2 linked regions of the Stegostoma tigrinum genome follow. The protein of the gene in region 2 interacts with the protein of the main gene of each other region in a biochemical or structural test. Links are inferred from orthologs where the notes say so. Each region holds a gene or a part of one and is shown on either strand. Other genes may lie near its edges.

Region 1 (3,752 bases), on a different chromosome or scaffold from region 2:
CAGCTTCACTAGGACATTTGTAAGTAGCATTCAATGGTAGAAGCGATGACAGCTGCCCCATACAGGCTGAGCAGTGTCAATGGGAATGATTGATTTGACTGCAACACAGAGAAGCCAGTGGAATTAGGCGAGGAAGATGTTTATGTCTGGGACTAGTGCAGGGACAAACTTGAACCATTTATTTACAATAATCAAATTGTTACCAAGTTTTAACAACAGAATATTATTTGGCCATTTTGTAATCTTTGGTGAAAGGGCTATTAACATGAGAAAGATATTTTCAGATCATCTTTCTTAGCAATGTTTTGACACACTTCTGGAGCAAGTGGGACTTGAACCCAACCCTTCTGGCTCAGAGATAGGGGCATGACCACTGTACCCCAAAAGCCTTTCTTGTTACCATTAGGAAAGGCAGCAATTTCCAACTTACACATGCGGGTTGATATCAAGTCCAACTGATGCACCAATGATGGTTCATCTGCATTGCTGAAGGCTCCAGCCTCACAGCAGAGCAGCTGCATGATATCTTACTACTTACTGCTTCATTTTGGGGACTTTTGTTTCGAAGGATTCCCAGTTTCCAAGGCAGTTTTACCTGTGGGTTGATGACTCTTGGAAACAGGCTTGAGGTTTCTCCATCTCATAGCAGCTGGTCATTTCTCTTACACCATGGCACGATTGTTCCTCGAAAAAACAAGCTGTTTTCAATGTATAGTGCATGAAGTAACTTTCAATTGAACTTAATTCTGCTATTGAAACCAACACACCTGCAATGAGGAACCCGAGAGATCAGTCTTAACAGCCTTCTCCATTTCTCTGCTGTTGCTCAATTCGACAGGAAGTGGTCGGTTGCCTTTTGCTGGCTGTGGAGATGAGATGATTTGTCAGAGAAGACAAAGAATCTCTGAGGTAAATGCCACGTTTGATCACAAGGTGCTGAACGATGAAACAACAACAATGTGTGTGGAACAGATCAATTAATTCAATGGGTTTACTTCATTGAGATTGGGTTTGTACAATTTCATCTTGCCTCAAAATCCAACCAGTTTGAACAAAAGGAATACCAACATTTTCACCGTCTTGAGTTAATAATACCATGCACGGGAGATAAAGTTTACAACCAAACAAAAAGGTAAGTTGAAAGTTTTTAAAGAGCTTCTGCAGTATCTTATACATCATTCTTTACAGCTCTGGAACATGTTGCTATCAAAATTATTTTCAATATCATGTGAAGATATATTTTCCTCTTTGTGGATGGCATAGATTTGTATTTTGAAGTAAGTTTGCTTCTAATGCTCCCTGGAGTTCAGGACAGTTGAGTAGCTTGGAAACTGTTGCACAATCAAAATGATATATCCCTGGATAAACTGATTGTATTTCATTATAAAACTGAAATACTGTTTAATGTCTACTGTGTGAGAATATGATTTTCTGCATAATTCTAACTCCTTCAAGCCACTGGATCAATATATTGTAGCAAATCCAAATACCATATTTTAAAATGTGTGGCAGTAAGCTATGCACCCTAACTGCTTACTTCAGGTTAACTGGGAGATATTTAAAAACAAAATATACATTATTTAAGACTTCCTTTTCTGTTAAGTTTATAACTATAACTCTCAAGTGTCCTGTTTTAACTGATTTCCTACTGATTTTCTGGTCATACAGTAAGCATTGAAAAGAATTCTGTTTGTTTATGGAATGGAGAAGTTTATTTACAGCAATCGCTAATATTCTGTTCTGGGTGGGATACTGTTTTACTGCTGAGTTATTCATTCTCACCACTCAAATATAAAATTCCTTTTTAGCGAGAGTCTGGGCATGATAAATGCCTTCTTAAATAACGTGCATTTATATAAGATAATTTACATGAATTTTTTTTTAATAATTATTAGGCATAGTGGAGAGTATGCTTGCACAGCCAGAAACAGCTCTAACATAACTGTGGATGTGACCACATGGATGTTCAGCGTGAATTCATTGTTGTTTGTCTTGCCCGAGAGCAGATTCTGGATTCATTCTCTGTTGATGCTTCATCCTGAATTGTCTTCTTGGTGGATCCTTTTCTTGGTGGTTTGTCATTGTCACCCATTCCCGGGGCAGGACGAAGAGGCCGGTCCTAAGCCAACTCAGCATTGGAATTAAACCTATGCAGCTGCTGTTATTTTACAGCACACACCGGCCATCTCGACAACAGAGCTAACCAGCCCCAATTCAACATAACATCCTCTTTCATATAGATCAGGGATAGAGAAAAAATGAAAATATGTTGGCATTTTGTGACTGGAAAAACATCTAGTTCTTCAAAATGCTAATGATATAATTGATGGTACCACACATTTTCAATTTATACATCCACAAGATTTTATCCCCAGGACAACCAGTAATTGCAAAATGGGCGTCATACTTATAAAATAAAGAAAATGAATAATTGTAACTTCTTTTACCACTGTTTGTTCCACATGATTTTTCTTGACTATCCACGAGGATGTATTTGTCTTGTGTCTCAATACAAAGTTCACACAATCCCAGTGTAGTATCCATTTGATAGGGATGAATATATCTGAGCCAACGAGCAACAAAATCAAATGTGAGATCTTGATCCAAAAACTGAACAGTGAGAAGGTACTCTCTTTAAAGCTGAGGACATTACAATTCTGTTAAATGAGTCCATTGCTTCTATTAATTTTTTTCCATTTTTCAAAGGCTTTAAGCGCAGGAGATTTCATTGAAACTGCCACAGCTTAGATTCACCATGGCCTGTACCTAGTTAGATTGAGTAATCTGAGCCAGCCCAGTTCAGTTCTAGAATTGATTTTAGTTTATATTCACTAAGACTTTGTCCATATTCTTTCAGCTAAGATTGTATTGTGGAGTTCTGCTGCATTGAACAATTGGAAATTCGCTTCTGATCTTTACTGCAATGACTTCCAACAAAACACACTTGCTGTGATTAAATAGTTTTGGAAGGAAAATGAGAATTGCAAATAAAAAGCATTCTAAAGTTCAACATTAAAAGGAATTTTATTATAGTATTGCTTCATGGTACATAATCTCAATAAATGGTTATATTCTTATAATAAAATAAAGAAAGTAGGGGTGGAGGTTAGATAGACCTCAGGTTTAGGATACAAGTTCAGCACAATATCATGGGTCGAAGGCCTTGTACTGTTCTATGTTCTATGTTCTATATTTTAAGGCGGATGCTGGACGTCTGAAACAGAAACAGAAAATGCAGGATAAACTCGGCAGGGTTGGCAGCATCTGTGGAGAATAAGCAGGATTAACATTTAGAGTCCAGAGGCCCTTCTTCAGAGGAAAAAGGATCTTCATTGAAGGGCCACTGGGCTCTGCTTTCTCTGCACAGACGTGGCCAGCCCTGCTGAGTTTCTCTGGATTTGCTTTATATAGGGAAAAAATCCCATAGCAAGTCATAAAACAAAACTTGACACCAATCTAAAGAATGAAATATTTGGGTAGACAGCTAAAATCTTCGATAAAATAATACATTTTAAGATGCATTGTGAATGAGAAATAGAGATGGAGCGGTATGAAGTGAGAATTCCAGCACTTAGGGTCTTGAGGCAGCTTGGGCTACAGCTGTCAGTGTAGGGCAGAGGGAGAAAGGGATGTACAATAATCCAGAATTGATGAAACATTGAGTGTTTGGAGGGCTTTGGGGCTTCAAGTGGTTAAAAAGCTCGGGAGGCTTGAGATCATGGAAAATTTGATCTTATTAAAATTGAGGCATT
Region 2 (3,752 bases):
GAACTCAGTGAAACATGAAGGATTTGGAATGACTCGACAGGATTGATACTGAGAGATTACTGCACAGGTTGAGGAAACTGAGACATGGAAATGAGGAATCAGGGATTTTGGGAGTAAGTGAGAGAGGTGGAGTTAAGGGTGAGGATCTGTAATGGCTGAAATTCTGAAGAAGGGTCCAGACCCGAAATATCAGTTTTCCTGTTCCTCTGATGCTGCTTGCCCTGCTGTGTTCATCCAGATCTACACCTTGTTGTGTTAACTTCACATCCTTTTATGGCAAAAAAAACTCACCATTCAAAACTTTTAAATGATTATTAAGCTTGTATCTATTGCTTTCTGTTGGAGACAGTTCCATCATGCTATCAATCTTTAAATGAAGTATTTCTCCATTCCTCTCCTGAACTGCCTGGTTCTCCCTTGAAGCTTACACCCTCGTGGCCTGGATTCGCACCTACCAGCAGGAACAGCCTGCTTTCTCCCCTGCCGATTTCTGTCAAAATCCTAAAACTTAAATCAAAATCACCCAAGGAATACAAGCTGAGTTGATGTAATGGTGATAATGGGAACTGCAGATGCTGGAAAATCCAAGATAAGGTGAAGGGCCTAGGCCCAAAACATCAGCTTTTGTGCTCCTGAGATGCTGCTGGGCCTGCTGTGTTCATCCAGCCTCACATTTTATTATCTTGAGTTGATGTAATGTCTCCTTATAACTGATGGTTTGGAGAACTGGTGTTGTGGTTCTTCCAAAGGCAGAGGAAGCATATTTAATACTGATCTCCAAAAGGAGAATTCGGTAAGAAACAGTGTTTGCAGGCTGATGGGGAAAGAGCAGGGGAGTGGAACTAAATAATGAGCTCCGAAAAAGAGCCAGAACATGGACCATGGTTTAAATGATCTCTGTTGTATAATCATGGGCTACAGAGTACAGATGAAAGCTTGTGGACATTTTGATGAGGCTGAATTCTCTACATTCAGTCATCCAGCTATACTGTTGAAGTTCCTGTGGCCTAGAAAGCCATTTTGAACGATCTTCCGTTATGTTGTTTAGTTGTCTGTGAATAGCTACACAGTACTAAAAATAAACCAGTAACTTAACTTCAAAAGTATCTTCAAATCCCTTTAATGGCCTGCCATTTTATACCTTTCACTGCTCTGCAAACAGTGTCGAAAAAATTATCTTCTGACAAAAATCGTAATTAAAAGGGGTTGGAGTAACTTTGGTCAGAACTATACATGAGTTTAACTTTATAGAAAAGGTTTGTAGTGAAACTTAAATCCCAGGGATAGAGTCTTTCATCGGAAGGAAGCCCCTGAAAAACGGCAAATGTGTACACACAAGAATTCAAGAATTAAGTACAGGAGTAGGCTGTTCAGCCTTCTGAGCCTGCTCTGCCATTTAATAAGGTTGTGGCTGATATGGTTGTAGCTTTAGGTCCAATGTCCTGTCTGCCACCACCCCCAGACCCCTGTAACCCCATACTTACTCATTGATCAACACTCTGTTTAACCCAATGTCCCAGTCTTCCATGCTTTCTGAGTGAAACAGGTTCAAAGACTAATGATGACATTCTGATGAAGGGTCAGCGGACTTGAAACGCTAACTCTGCTTTCTTCCCACAGACACTGCGAGACCTGCTGAGTTTCACCAGCAATTTCTGCTTTTGTTCCAAAGACTAACAGTTCACTGAGAGAAAGATATCCCTCTTTGTCCCTCTCTTAAATAGGAAACCCCTTATTTTTAATTTGTGTCTCCCGATTCTGAACCACTCCACAAGGGCAAACACCCTATCTCACCAGACCTGGCAAGACTCCTCAGGACCTTCCATATTTCAATACGATCACTTCTCATTCTTCCAAACTCTAAAGGATAGATGTCCAACTTGTTCAATGCTTCATGGTCATACAAGCAGGAAGCAGCAAAGTGAACTTTCTCTGAACTGCTTCTACCGTGACTTTTTTCCTTTCTTATGTAAGGAGATCAAAACGTGACACAGCACTCCAGGTCATCCTCACTGACCGACTGGCAAGGACCTAGTTTATACACTCACATATTCCTGGGTTCCCCTCTATCTACTACAGATACACTCGCAGGGACCAGTTATTATTCATAGTCAGACACCTCTAAGCATGAAAACTGCCTCAGATTCTACTTTCTCTGTAAAAACTGAACGTCGAATGCAAACATCCGCAGGACAGAATTCCGAGTCACAAGCGACTCGTTGCTCTATCTCTCGATAGCGAACGGGCAGCCACTCAATGGGCCGAGCGATCTCCTTCCGCGCCCCAGCCACTTACGGTCTTTAGTTGATGGCGGTGAAAACTGTTCCTCTTTCAACTCTTACAATGCAGTAAAAGATCACAGAAACCCGAGTGCGAGACCCTGCGCTCAATGAAGAAGCAGGAAGCCCTGTGTCAGGTCTGAGGGGAGACAGCGGGACTATCTCCTGTCTCTAACCGACTCAGTCAGTTCCCCACGTTCAAAGAAGGCAGAGTGTCCCTGGACAGCGGTACCTCACTCTCTGTCCCTCAGGCTCGCCTTTAGCAGAGCAAACTCAATAAGAGACTCACCAGAAACTCCCCCGAGGTTATCTCCTCTTTGTTGCGCACCTGCCTGAGGAACCTCACCAGGATGGTTCCTTGGTCCATGCTGACAGCTGGCGAGCTGCTGGTAACTCTGCCCAGCGACTGCGGGACATGACAGAGGCTGAGACTTAACTGGCCTGAAAGGCAGGACTTTGAACTGCATATCTGCGGTTTTAACACAAGCAGGAGGGAATCAGCAGTCACTGTTACTGCGGTCAGAGAAGGGAAGAGAGACAGGCTCTCTGCGGGTCCTAGTGCCTCTTGGCGATGGCAGACAGTATCTGCATTGTTTGGTATACGCTCGTGTTTTTTTTGGGCGCCTCTAAAGTTTTACACCCATTTTCCAACTCGAGAGATTGCTCTTTTACATTAAAATATTTAAGTTAGGGAACTGTGATTGATTTGTAACAGCTTGTATTCTGTGAATGAACAAAAATAAGACATACAAAGTGACGCACTCAAGACATGCACACACACACACACGTACAGACGACAGATACACAGACATACATACACATAGACGCAGATACACTTACACACACATGTACAAAACACAGAGACAGACAGACACACAGGGACAGACACACATTCACAGTGCACACACACAGACATACACAAACACATACAGGCACAGATATGCACATAGACAGATACAAACTCACAAACAGATACACTCACAGACGGATACATAGAGATATATGCATGTAAAAGGACCATAGCTAACACATACCTCACACAAATACACAACCTCAGAGACTCACAGCAACCCCATCCCCCAGAAATATAACCCCAAACAAATTTTCAGTCTCCCCTACACACAAACAACACCCTTATTGGAATAAAATGCTTCAAATCACTTTACAATAATACTTGTAAAGACAAATTTGGCATGTAATATGTTACATAATCTTGGATATCTAATCCATTTTTACTTTTATTTATATACTTCTGTATTTTATTTCTGCCTGTTCTGTGTGTGTACTATAGGGTGGGCAATTTCTATGTGTTTACATGTGTGTGTTTATTTGGTTGTTTGTGTGTAGGGGAAACTGAAAATTTGTTTGGGGTTATATTTCTGGGGGATGGGGTTGCTGTGAGTCTCTGAGGTTGTGTATTTGTGTGAGGTATGTGTTAGCTATGGTTCTTTTACATGCGTATATCTCTATGTA

What was found.
Region 1: of the proteins of tyrosine-protein phosphatase non-receptor type 22-like (region 2) and lck, one has a biochemical effect on the other in vitro, tested with the Homo sapiens proteins (3 studies listed by IntAct, with this or other methods). The link is inferred for Stegostoma tigrinum from reciprocal best matches to the Homo sapiens genes PTPN22 and LCK.

The regions. Positions count from the first base shown.
Region 1 is NC_081377.1:45,812,778-45,816,529, forward strand, and holds the start of lck (tyrosine-protein kinase Lck), read left to right. Parts: upstream 1-944; 5' UTR 945-1,132; intron 1,133-3,752. UniProt on the Homo sapiens protein: Non-receptor tyrosine-protein kinase that plays an essential role in the selection and maturation of developing T-cells in the thymus and in the function of mature T-cells. Plays a key role in T-cell antigen receptor (TCR)-linked signal transduction pathways.
Region 2 is NC_081374.1:3,310,925-3,314,676, reverse strand, and holds the start of tyrosine-protein phosphatase non-receptor type 22-like, read right to left. Parts: upstream 2,731-3,752; 5' UTR 2,647-2,730; coding exon 2,569-2,646; intron 1-2,568. UniProt on the Homo sapiens protein: Acts as a negative regulator of T-cell receptor (TCR) signaling by direct dephosphorylation of the Src family kinases LCK and FYN, ITAMs of the TCRz/CD3 complex, as well as ZAP70, VAV, VCP and other key signaling molecules.